Neodiprion lecontei: one gene and its partner. The protein of the gene in region 1 binds, or shares a complex with, the protein of each later gene. Links are inferred from orthologs where the notes say so. Each region holds a gene or a part of one and is shown in the gene's direction. Other genes may lie near its edges.

Region 1 (8,077 bases):
GCAGAGCATTGATGTTCATGGACTGAGATTGGGTGATAAAATTATTATTCCGTTGAATATAATATTAATAATTCCGCTCTTCGTGTATTAAATAGAGGTACAACAGAAAGCTCTAGCCCAAAAGAGAACGGAATGGCAACACTTGAGGATAAAATTTTGGGTGAAAAATTACAATATTACTGCAGTAGTTCAAGTGAAGACGAGGGGCAAGACTCAGCGGATTCTGAAGATGAACAAAAGTCGCAGAAACCGTGCGACGCGACAGCGTCAAGGTCTGAGCAACTGCCTGAGTGTGCAAAGTGGGACGGAACTTCAAGCAACACAGGGCCGAAAGGGGTCTTAGGCGACTGGCAGCGGTTTAAACAAATAGAGGCAGAGAAGAAAGTCGAACAGGAGAAGGAGAGGATCGAGCTGCTGAAGAAGTTGAGTTTGACTTGCAGGAGTGCTCTTGACGAGGAAAAAGATAATCTTGAGGAAACCGATCCAGAGTTGGCAGATTTGATGAACGACGAATTTTTACTCAATTATCAGAAGCAAAAAATGATGGAAATGCTCACTCGGGCTGAAAAATTAAGATTTGGCCGGTTATTCAACTTGGTAACTGCTGATCAATTTCTGGAGGCCATCGACAACGAACATGAATCTGTTACCATCGTTATTCATATTTATGAACCTGACATAGAAGGATGTGAGACTATGAATGGCTGTTTACTTTCACTGGCCATCGAATATCCCAGCGTTAAATTTTGCAAAATTCAAGGTGAGATGGTGAAAGAATTCCAAACTTCTATAAAAGAACATTGCAGTTGCTAATGCTGAATTATTTTTAGGCTCCGCCGCAGGCTTAAGTAGGCACTTCAAAAAGGAGGGAGTTCCAGCACTGCTTGTTTATAAAAACAAACAAGTCATAGGTAATTTTGTTCGTGTCACAGATCACCTTGGAGTTGACTTTTATTCCTCTGATGTTGAACATTTTTTAATCGAGCATGGAATGATAAGTGACAGAAACTGTATTCCATCAATTGTTTCTACTAAGAGAAATGCAGATTCTGACAGCGACTAGAAAAATGAACGAAATAGAGACTGGAGATTATATGTGGTAAAAATGTATTTAATATTTATAGTAACTATACTTATATGAACTATGTAACAATAAACCTGAAGCTCCTGTATATTTTATCTATGCTGTTCGTAAGTATGACGATTGGTTTTCTCGTCATTTACATAGAGTGAATTATCTGTAAATGAATGGTTCTTTGATCCAATGGCATTGACTGAAAAGTTGGTAAAGATGTTGCATAGATTTGGTTTTCTGAAAACTAAACTTTTCCAATCATAACATAACTAGTAATAAATTGCTCTTTTTGCAACCAACTGATTTGCATAAATTTTGCCATTGAAATTATACGTGTATCAGTAATGCAAAAATTTTAATTGACACGAAAGAATACAAAATCGGACTCTCGTGAATAGCGGAAAATTAGGCAACGCAATGAACCCAATGAATAAAAAAGGTGGAAGATGTTCTTGGGAATTTTCAGTGTTGACAAGCATTGGTTGGCAGCAGGTTTTGCAACTCGCATTGAGAAGGGTTTTAGAAAGCTTTGGAACGCACAACTCATTTCAAACTGTCTAAAGTCCCAACGCACACCTTTGGATAAATCCAAAATTAGGCTCGAGACTATCGCGAAAATGTTTCTAGACGCACAGTTAGTAGATTGAGTTACCAAATACCGATTAAGCATTGAAATGCATTGGACAATTCATTCAATCACTTGTTTCAGATAAACCAGGGAAGAGTCATAATTTAAGAATAAATTAACTAATTGTACGGCATTCTCAACTTTTGTAAATGCTTACTGTTGCGCCACGGAGTAATGGCGCTTTTCATTGGCTACACTTGCGGATGCGCACTGATTACGGTTCTTCTAGTATCTCGTTTCAACTATTGGTTGAAAACAGTGGAATCTCACTCAGTGCGCGCACCGGCAGTCGGCACGCTCGATTGTAATTTTTTGATCCGCAGGTCTTTCCGAAACATAACCTATTGCACGATGAACGTTATTTGATATTTAAAGATAATCTGATTTCACTCTGGTTTGGATGTTGTGAAATTAATAAATATATAAAAATGATACCGACAACCCGACGTATATCGGAATCCCTACTTCGAAGAAGTGGGATCCTGTGCACCACTTTACAAGACAGGTAGAGTATAATATCTCTATTATATACTTTTATATTGTAATAAGGTAATCGACACACATTATTCATATTTATTCACTTATTATAACCTATGGTCAATTTTGTATTCCTATATCCTACAAATATTTTATTGTAACAGGTGTAAGTGTGAGGTGAGTTTAATCAACAACAGGTAAAGTTTTATAAAAATTATTGAATGTAATAATTTTATGAATTGATTTCTAATACATTACGCGTTATTTTTTATTTTTCAGATATCTTAGAATTGGAGCTTATTTAGCACAACCTTTGCGGGGAAAAAAAGATGACTCGACTACAATCACATCTTTGTTCAAACCAGTTCCCGTCAAGTCGAACCCAGATGATATTAACGTGGGAGTTGAACTTAGTGGGGCTCTCAACAAAGCTGACCTCCTGAAAGTGCTCAATCAATTCTATCAAAGAAAAGAGATCAAGGTGCTCGCCATGGAACACGGATTGGACAGTGAGTACTTAAGGTGCTTCAACTCGTTATTTCAGTTTTCTCAACTTCCCGCTTTGGTATTTTTATAGAAAAAGGAAAGTTTTTATAATTACCCTGAAAATGAAAAGTTGTGTTTTCACTATATTTCTACTATTTAAGGCCTGGAGAATCTTCTCTGATCACTTTCAGGTGGACATCTCGATTTGAGTGTATGATCGTTTTTTGGTGGCAATTACTGAAAGATTAGATTTTATTATTTTGGCCTTAATTGATTCAGTTTTGCTTGACTCAGAACTGACTAGAATTTGAACTTAATTCTTGTGGTATCTCAAAAACGTCTAGATGCAGATGAAACTTGCTTCATGGGTTTAGCTTTATTAATATAAAGCTGATTAGATTTTTACTAAAATCAGTTGAGCCTTTAAAGTTATTTTCAAAATTATAAATCATGTAGTCTGAAATTTTTATCTTCATCGATAGTGGGAGTAGCTGGAAGTTCTGAGATTGATCCTCTCAAGTTGAGTAGATTTCCCTGCTTGTTTCCACCCGTTTTATCGCTGTAAATTACATTCAATAAACATTGTCCTACAAAAGCCAATGTAAATGCTTCTGTTGGTTGTTTCCTCCCTACTTTTGGTTCATTGCTCTTAGTTTTTCTGCATTATTTTGGAGACTGCACACACAAATATGAACGTCTTGCAGGTTACTTACAACATCAAACCTTCATCAGTTTTCGACGCTACTGCTTAGATGCTGAAACCTTGCCGGCAGACTTGCATGTTGTAATAAGCGACATAATGCAAGGAGCCGGGCATGTCGATGACATATTTCCGTACTTTATGCGTCATGCGAAACAGACTTTTCCCCATATTGAATGTATGGATGATCTCAAGAAAATAAGCGATCTACGCACACCTGCTAACTGGTATGAATAAAACAGTGGAAATATTTGCTTCTGTATTTTGAATAGAGCTTCATATTTATAACCAGAAATATGCGCAAATTAAATAACTATCATTTTGCAGGTACCCGTTAGCGAGAGCTAAGACAAGAAAAATTATATTTCATGCTGGACCAACGAATAGTGGTAAAACTTACCACGCGCTACAGAGGTTCATGACTGCAAAAAGTGGATTATATTGTGGGCCGCTGAAGTTGTTGGCTGCAGAAGTGTTCAATAAAAGCAACACTAACGTGAGGATTCAGTAATTCATTAGAACTGTTTTTGAAAATCTTGCAAATGTTCTTCATTGTTTTGAACGTTATCGCAATACTCTGTTTATCCTGCATCTTTTTCCAGGGTACCCCATGCGACTTAATTACCGGAGAAGAGAAAAATTTTGCGAAAGGTGCAGACAACCCTTCAAATCACATATCTTGCACAGTCGAAATGGCCAACACAAACGCTGCATGTAAGGTTATATCCTTTGATTCAATTATTCATTACATATTACGTTTAAGTATAAAAAAAAAAAGGAAACGAATGGAATAAAATTAATTTATTTTAGGTGAGGTTGCCGTCATAGATGAAATCCAATTGATGAAAGATCCAGGTAGAGGCTGGGCATGGACTAGAGCTTTGCTAGGACTGCCAGCCGATGAAATTCACCTTTGCGGAGAAGCTGCTGCGATAGACTTAGTCAGTATATATTTCAAAATTCGTTGAAAAATCAATGAATTTGATGGCCAACGATTCATAAATTTACATGGGTGAGATATGCTGTCCGAATCACTAATGATTGCTATATGTTAGGTCCGCTCCATATGTATCACAACTGGAGAGGATGTTGAGGTACGGAGATATAAACGTCTGACTCCGTTGGAAGTCGAAGAGTCTGCACTGAAATCACTGGACAATGTAGTTGCAGGAGACTGTATAGTTTGCTTTAGTAAAAATGAAATATATTCTGTGTCTCGTAGCATCGAATCTCGTGGTATTGAAGTGGCAGTTATATATGGAAGCCTTCCACCAGGAACAAAACTAGCTCAAGCAGCAAAATTCAATGACATCAATAACCCATGTAAAGTTTTAATTGCTACTGATGCTATCGGGATGGGTTTGAATTTGTTAGTATCGTTCTTTTTTTTTAAATCGTAATTTTTCCAATGATAAAGGCGAACTCAAATAGCATGTGTGGAAAAAAATTTCGATGTTTAATCATTCGCGTTTTTTTACACATATTTCATTTGGCAGGAGTATACGAAGGATAATATTCTACTCTTTGATGAAGCCGACTATCAATGAAAAGGGCGAAAAAGAAATTGACACGATACCTGTGTCCTCTGCTCTGCAAATAGCTGGACGAGCCGGGCGTTATGGTACACAATGGGAGAAAGTAAATCATTTTTAAAAATTCGGTGTTCAATTCTATCACGCTTATTCGACTTCCCGGAGTTGTAGTTGCTTTGTTGTTTCAGGGATATGTAACAACTTTTAGACCAGATGATCTATCCAAGCTGCAACACTTGCTTTCACAAGAACCAGAAGTCCTTACTCAAGCTGGTTTACATCCAACCGCTGATCAAATAGAACTATATGCTTACTACCTGCCTGATTCTACTCTGTCTAATCTAATGGTGATTGTTTCAATACATCATAATATATTTAGGAATCAGCAGATTTGCATCGAGTCCGTAAATTGTACTCTTTTTTCAGACTTACAATTAATTATTAATCGTTCTTTCCTATTGCAGGATATTTTCGTATCGCTATCTATAGTGGACAACTCTTTATACTTCATGTGCAATCTAGACGATTTCAAATTTCTTGCTGATATAATTCAGCACATCCCGCTACCATTGCGCGCACGATACGTATTTTGTTGTGCGCCGATAAATAGGAAAATACCATTTGTGTGCACAATGTTCTTGAAAGTAAGCTGATCATGCTCAACCAATCTATTCTAATAATATCACATATTCTACTACATTAGTCACGCTCAAAAAGTTCAATTGAAACTGATTAACAACATTTAAGTCAGAAAGATTCCAAATTGTGTATCTGTAATTTCTGATCAAGTACAAACGGGCTGTACTGTCTAAATTGAATGCTAGGACAAGTCAACAAAAATCATTTAGAAAATCTCCAGCAGCTTTATGTGCGGCAATGACGGTGAATACGAATGAAATAACATCTCTACTGTGTACTATAAATGAATATGACCATGTTCGAATAAGAAAAGCTAAGATATCAACCATCAGACAAAAAGATTTATAATCAGAACGCTCAAGATGTTCAAACTTTGGTATTTTCGAATTGATTCTTATTCTTTGAGCTTACTGTGTTTGCCATAGAGCTTTGAGGGTACATTGAAAAAAAAAATTCATAAACAGTTGTGCTTATAGTGGATAATGTTTGTGCAGCACAGCACAATAGATGTTTCTCAACAATTATATTTGCACGTTGTAATTATACTATAATATAAGATTCAGTGAATGTTTTTAACAATTTGTGGAGGTCTAGTCAGCGAGCAAAATGAGCCCAAAAATATTAAAATCGGCTAAAAAACACAACAGTTTAGGAATTTCCAATGTTCTGATTATAAAACCTTTTCTCAAATTGTTAATACTTTATCTTAGTGATACGAATTTACTGAAAATCATTTTTATCTCATATTAGGGATATTGTTGTGATCGTGTTCGCTATCATTGGCACAAAGAAAAACACCGTTGAAGATTGGAGCAATTTTTTTTTCTTTCCGAACCTTTAATTTAGACTATATGGTTCATTCATTCTTTAATTCAATTGGGATCCAAAATTTTGCCTCGGTCTTAGTTAAAAAAGAAAAAAATTATGCAAATATCAATGGGCAGTAAACTTTGTCCAAATGAGTTTTTTTCTTTATACGAAGTCGTCAAATAATAAAATATACGTAAAAAAAGAACAATAATATCAAATACGACACGGTTAACATTGCGCAATTTTTCTGCTACTGGATAGCGTCTAAATATTTTGGATCCCAATAAATATTGTTTGCCTAAAAAAATACGTATTTGAACATAATTTTGATATTTGATTTTGTATAGTTCGCTCGACAATACAGTAAAAATGAAACGTTGACGTTTGACTGGCTTTGTCAAAACATCGGTTGGCCAGTCGCCGCACCAAGAACAATCATAGATTTGGTTCATTTAGAAGCAGTATTTGATGTCTTAGATCTCTACCTTTGGTTCAGGTGAGAAATTATTTTGAGTTCAGCCATTAGAATTAGATAGGTATTACAAATTCAGTTGAATTCAAAAATGCCTAAGCATCAGATTCACGGTATTTGTTTTCTTATTTGCTGCTAGTTATCGATTCATGGACCTCTTGCCTGATGGAGATATTGTGCGAGATACTCAGAAGGAGTTGGATGCAGTTATACAAGAAGGCATAGTTCAACTAACACAGCTTTTAAAGACCTCAGAGTCAGGTTTGTTGAAGACATTACATATTAAAATTTCTGGTAAATTGTGCCATGCCATGTTCCAACATTATCAAATCATTTTCAGGTTCAAACAATGGTGCTGTGTTAGCTCCTGACGAAGATCACTTTGCACTGAACACCCAGAAGAACAAATACTTCAGAGGTTATTTTATTTGTTACAATGTACATTATTTTTTGTTAACTGGCCTGTTGATAACCTTGCTTCCATTATTTTCAACCTATAGATTCTAGAAGTGTCACAGCCAAGACTTTGGGACAAGGTAAATTAACAGAAAGATTACTGGCACAAGGACTTCTTACTCCAAGCATGTTGAACGAATTGCGGAGAGAATGGAATCAGGTATGAACAGTGTTCATTGAAGCTCGCCAATAGAAAAACTTGATGCTAACAATGTCAAATTCAGTTATAGTTTTGAAATGATCTCGCAAGAACTTAGACCTAACAAATTGTATTTATCAGTTCCTAAAGATATCTGTTCCGTCCAAATAATTTCAGCCAAATACTTTTTAGTAACATTTGTCCAAAAAAAGTTAGTCAAATCAGTATTTGCAGTTGTTAAAATTCAAATTTCTTTTTTTTTTTTAATTTAACCAACATTTTTGTCATTCCTTAGTTTTATTTTTTGTATAGTTTACCGATGACAATGAATCAAGTCGTCCAAAAAAAACCGGACGGAAACGTAAACTGAAATGAAGTGTTCCTGTTCATTGCCGAAATTTCTCCACAATTCAAGAGCCAATCGTAAGTACAATGAATAAGAATTTGTAGTGTAAATGATGGTACGAAAGATTTCTGTTTCATTTTTGTACAATGTATGGCAGTAAACTACTACGTATGTGTAAATTAAAGTAATCATTAATTCACAAAGAACATTTTCTTTTCAGTGATTTTAATGAAAGAATTAAAATTGATTAAGAATTTATAATTTTATGCGACATCAAATTTATACTCCATTCTTTGAAACTGTTATATTAATCCTTT
Region 2 (4,843 bases), on another chromosome or scaffold:
AAAGTTTTGACAGTAATGGAAAATAGAGATTACTAAAAACAAATGTATTGTTTTTTAATAACACCGGCCCAATTAAATTTTAAAAGGCTTATGGCTGAATAAACTTCAGATTTGGGTTTAGCGGACCAAAATGCATAAAAATCATACTTGGTCTATAGTTCCATAAATTTTTTTCTTACCAAAAATGCTAATTTTTGGCGATTTTTATGGTTTTTTTGCAATTTACTCAAAATTTTGAGGGTGTACGGGCAAAACTGACTTCAGATTCGGATTCAGCGCGTCAAAATACATAAAGATAGGTAGGTCCGGTCAAAAGTACAGGCCACTTTTTTTCTGTGGGCCGGTGTTATTAAAAAACAATACATTTGCGTTTAGTAATCTCTATTTTCCATTACTGTCAAAACTTTTCCATATCAAAAAAGAGGCGCCAAAAACGCGGAACAAATCGATTCGCTCTCGGAATTTTATTGTTTCAATTATTTGTTCTCTTCCGGGTTACCCCCACTACAAAAAAGGTGGGTTCAGTAAAAAAAAAAGCAAAAGGAAAGAAGGAAAAAATCGACCGGCTCTCGAAATTTTCTTTCTTTGATTTGTTTTTTCTCTCCGAAAATACAAAAAAAAAAGCCGGGATTGAATTTAAAAATAAAAAAAAAAAAAGAGTGAACTGCGATCGAACCCGTGTCCCGCATCACTCCATCCTCATGTTTTTTTTTTTTTTTTTGAGGAGGAAACCATATTTATTTAGATGAACAATAAATGCTCAATATTTACAATATTGCACTTGTAATTATCTTAGTTTATGTAACTCCGGCTTAAATTTTAAGCTCGATCTAACATTTTGTTTTACATTAAGTGGTTAACTTATTTTTTAGTGTTTTGTTTAAGACTTGAATGCAGTATTATAGCAAAGGCAGTAGTAATTAACTTAAATACAGGAAAACTTCGCGCAAAAACCTGTGATTGAAAATTCATCCTCATGTGGTATCCACTCAGCCACACCACAGCTACGTCCGTGATCGCGCGTTTGCTCGGTATGTTTATGGAGCTTGCTTGGAATTCGCTGATGGTTCTCTGGAAGATTCAGTTCGAGAAAAAAAAAATTTCCTCCAACCACTTGCCCATTGCACATTTTGCATAAATGTTATCGAGCTGGCTTCGTATATTTTTCCATAGACAGCGCGTACAAATATTCGAGAACACCAGGCGTCACATATTTTCATATCAATAAAAAAATAATATTTATTAAAAAAAAAGAAGTATTCGGGCTGGGAATGGTTAATTATTTTGGTTCAGCGTCCGCTAATTGAATCCAAAATTTATCAAATCTGGAGATACTTTTATTCGCTGACATTCATAATTGAAACAAAAAAATCCCAATTCTTGCATTCCTGGAAACATTAGTGCGAGCGGGGACAAGGATGCGATTGGCAACCGCTTGCTCGAGCGACCGAGTATATCTATATATGCACGATTGTGGGCCACCTTCGGTGCATGGCCGCCTAGGTGTCAGGTCGGAAATGGGCCACCTTCGGTGCGTGGCCGCCTAGGTGTCACGTCGACGCTCCAACCTAGCTGGTATCACGAAAAGCCGAGCGTTGGAGATCTCCCTACTCATCTCTGTCCATACTCTTGCCTCTAGTCTCTATGCGTGATATCTCCTCTAGTGATACCAGAGATGAGTAGGGAGATCTCCAACGCTCGGCTTTTCGTGATACCAGCTAAGTTGGAGCGTCGACGTGACACCTAGGCGGCCACGCACCGAAGGTGGCCCATTTCCGACCTGACATCAAGCGGCCATGCACCGAAGGTGGCCCACAATCGTGTATATATAGATACACTCGGCTGCTCGAGCAAGTGGTTGCCAATCGCATCCTTGTCCCCGCTCGCACAGATGTTTCCAGGAATGCAAGAATTGGGATTTTTTTTGTTTCAGTTATGAATGTCAGCGAATAAAAGTATCTCCAGATTTGATAAATCTTGGAATCAATTAGCGGACGCTGAACCAAATTAGTTAACTATTCCCAGTCCGAATACTTTTTTTTTTTTTTTTAATACATATTATTTTTTTATTGATATGAAAATATGTGACGCCTGGTATTCTCGAATATTTGTGCACGCAGTCTATGGAAAAATATACGAAGCCAGCTCGATAACATTTATGCAAAATGTGCAATGGGCAAGTGGTTGGGGGAAATTTTTTTTTTTTCTCGAACTGAATCTTCCAGAGAAGCATCAGCGAATTCCAAGCAAGCTCCATAAACATACCGAGCAAACGCGCGCTCACGGACGTAGCTGTGGTGTGGCTGAGTGGATACCACATGAGGATGAATTTTCAATCACAGGTTTTTGCGCGAAGTTTTCCTGTATTTAAGTTAATTACTGCTGCCTTTGCTATAATACTGTATTCAAGTCTTAAACAAAACACTAAAAAATAAGTTAACCACTTAATGTAAAACAAAATGTTAGATTGAGCTTAAAATTTAAGCCGGAGTTACATAAGCTAAGATAATTACAAGTGCAACATTGTAAATATTGTACATTTATTGTTCATCTAAATAAATATGGTTTCTTTCTCAAAAAAAAAAAAAAAAAAAAAAAAAATGAGGATGGAGTGATGCGGGACACGGGTTCGATCGCAGTTCACTCTTTTTTTTTTTTTTTTTTTTAAATTCAATCCCGGCTTTTGTTTTTGTATTTTCGGAGAGAAAAAACAAATGAAAGAAAGAAAATTTCCAGAGCCGGTCGATTTTTTCCTTCTTTCCTTTTGCTTTTTGTTTTACTGAACCCACCCTTTTTGTAGTGGGGGTAATCCAGAAGAGAACAAATAATTGAAACAATAAAATTCCGAGTGTGAATCGATTTATTCCCCGTTTTTGGCGCCTCTTTTTTAATAAGGAAAAGTTTTGACAGTAATGAAAAATAGAGATTACTAAAAACAAATGTATTGTTTTTTAATAACACCGGTCCACAAAAATAAAAAAAAAGAGGTCTGTACTTTTGACCGGACCTACCTATCTTTATGTATTTTGACGCACTGAATCCGAATCTGAAGTCAGTTTTGCCCGTACACCCTCAAAATTTTGAGTAAATTGCAAAAAACCATAAAAATAGCCAAAAATTAGCAGTTTTGGTAAGAAAAAAATTTATGGAAGTATAGACCAAGTATGATTTTTATGCATTTTGGTCCGCTAAACCCAAATCTGAAGTTTATTCAACCATAAGCCTTTTAAAATTTAATTGGGCCGGTGTTATTAAAAAACAATACATTTGTTTTTAGTAATCTCTATTTTCCATTACTGTCAAAACTTTTCCTTATTAAAAAAAAAACGCCCATTTTATATCAGTCTTGACGAGCATTTCTTAAGAATTTTGAGAGATGCGAGATCGGAACGACAAAATTATTTCAGTAGCAACAATGTATGGACCCCTCTCCTTTTCTGATATTGGCAGCCAGTTAAGAGGCTTCACAGTGTTCAGTTTAATGCCAGCAGCTCTCGAGGTATCAAGATGGTAAGTGAATTACATAATTATTTTACATGCATGCAAAAACCGGCAGGTTTGACGCTCGTCTATTTACTTTATAGATTAAAAAGAGAAAAAAAGGGAAGGACCTGTAGTCGTATTTTATACTTTATTTAATTTTCCTTGAATTGTCAAACTTTTTTATTTTTAATTGTATAGGAAGAAAATGTGTGGGGAATTCCATTCTAGTGCCCAAGAATGTAGTACACATTTTCGATCGTTTTAACTTTTTTTTTTTTTGGGAAAACATGTTCCTCAATTTCCAAATTTCCTTAATTTTTTGGTATTCAAATCGATTCTTAACAATTTTGCGCACAGGTGGGATTTCTTTAATTATTTTTTCCCTAAACCTGAGGATATTTCCTATCTGAGATCACTGTCAATAGGCGAGATTCCGGAAATCATTAATTACCTTTTTTTCTAATTAAAAAGAAAATCACATAAGGCCACTAAGAGCTCGAAATGAAAATCTGAAAAAATTAGAGATGGTTTTTTGTATTCGAAGCCATTAACGTAAAAAATCCGTTTAACGACCATCCCAATAGATATACATTGTATGTTGGGCATTCCACGTCAAATTTGCAACCCATGTACCTCACCCTCTTCGCTTTTGATAATTGTTTGGTATGATGTTGCAACCACGGTTTCAATCGACTTAAAACAGTGTCGGAATTTTTTTTGCAGATTTCTTTAGCCACCACTGAAATAGAAAAAAATTGAAAAACCAATTCCGAAAACGCTTCTTTCAAAATTCTGAAAAAATTCACACTGATTTTATAATTAAAAATATGATTCTTAAGCACGACACGATAAAGGGATCTCTACATTTACTATAGTTTTCGCAAGTTTTTAGTTTTCTTGGATCTTTGAATAACTTGAAAAAAAAGAATGAAATGGTATGAACTATATTCAGGCCTTCTGGCATTCCTCTAGATTTCAGAAAAATTGAAATCCATTAATAATAGAGAAATTTATGACCGAATAAATAAATAGAAACTCCAATTCCGGCATGAGAAAAAAAACTTGCTAGAAAAGTAGTAGATGTTGAGATCACGTTATCGTGTCGTACTTACAAATAATATTCTTAATTATAAAATTAGTTTGAATTTCTTCAGAATTTTAAAAGAAGCTTTTTCAGAATTGGTTTTACAATTTTTTTCTATTTCAGTGGTGGCTAAAGAAATCTGCAAAAAAAATTCCGACACTGTTTTAAGTCGATTGAAACCGTGGTTGCAACATCATACCAAACAATTATCAAAAGCGAAGAGGGTGAGGTACATGGGTTGCAAATTTGACGTGGAATGCCCAACATACAATGTAT

What was found.
Region 2: ATP-dependent RNA helicase SUV3 homolog, mitochondrial (region 1) and polyribonucleotide nucleotidyltransferase 1, mitochondrial share a complex: the UniProt entries of both Homo sapiens proteins name them as parts of the mitochondrial degradosome (mtEXO) complex. The link is inferred for Neodiprion lecontei from reciprocal best matches to the Homo sapiens genes SUPV3L1 and PNPT1.

What each region holds. Positions count from the first base shown.
Region 1 is NC_060261.1:12,082,993-12,091,069, forward strand, and holds the start of ATP-dependent RNA helicase SUV3 homolog, mitochondrial, read left to right. Parts: upstream 1-1,921; 5' UTR 1,922-2,131; coding exon 2,132-2,208; intron 2,209-2,344; coding exon 2,345-2,377; intron 2,378-2,459; coding exon 2,460-2,689; intron 2,690-3,370; coding exon 3,371-3,593; intron 3,594-3,693; coding exon 3,694-3,862; intron 3,863-3,968; coding exon 3,969-4,080; intron 4,081-4,176; coding exon 4,177-4,307; intron 4,308-4,421; coding exon 4,422-4,735; intron 4,736-4,862; coding exon 4,863-5,004; intron 5,005-5,086; coding exon 5,087-5,245; intron 5,246-5,362; coding exon 5,363-5,542; intron 5,543-6,694; coding exon 6,695-6,843; intron 6,844-6,958; coding exon 6,959-7,080; intron 7,081-7,159; coding exon 7,160-7,237; intron 7,238-7,319; coding exon 7,320-7,435; intron 7,436-7,726; coding exon 7,727-7,789; 3' UTR 7,790-7,837; exon of another isoform or gene 7,838-7,974; intron 7,975-7,980; 3' UTR 7,981-8,077. Other genes in the region: phosducin-like protein, read left to right, coding at 133-760, 831-1,063. UniProt on the Homo sapiens protein: Major helicase player in mitochondrial RNA metabolism. Component of the mitochondrial degradosome (mtEXO) complex, that degrades 3' overhang double-stranded RNA with a 3'-to-5' directionality in an ATP-dependent manner.
Region 2 is NC_060264.1:16,918,975-16,923,817, reverse strand, and holds the start of polyribonucleotide nucleotidyltransferase 1, mitochondrial, read left to right. Parts: upstream 1-1,585; 5' UTR 1,586-1,663; intron 1,664-4,843. UniProt on the Homo sapiens protein: RNA-binding protein implicated in numerous RNA metabolic processes. Catalyzes the phosphorolysis of single-stranded polyribonucleotides processively in the 3'-to-5' direction. Mitochondrial intermembrane factor with RNA-processing exoribonulease activity.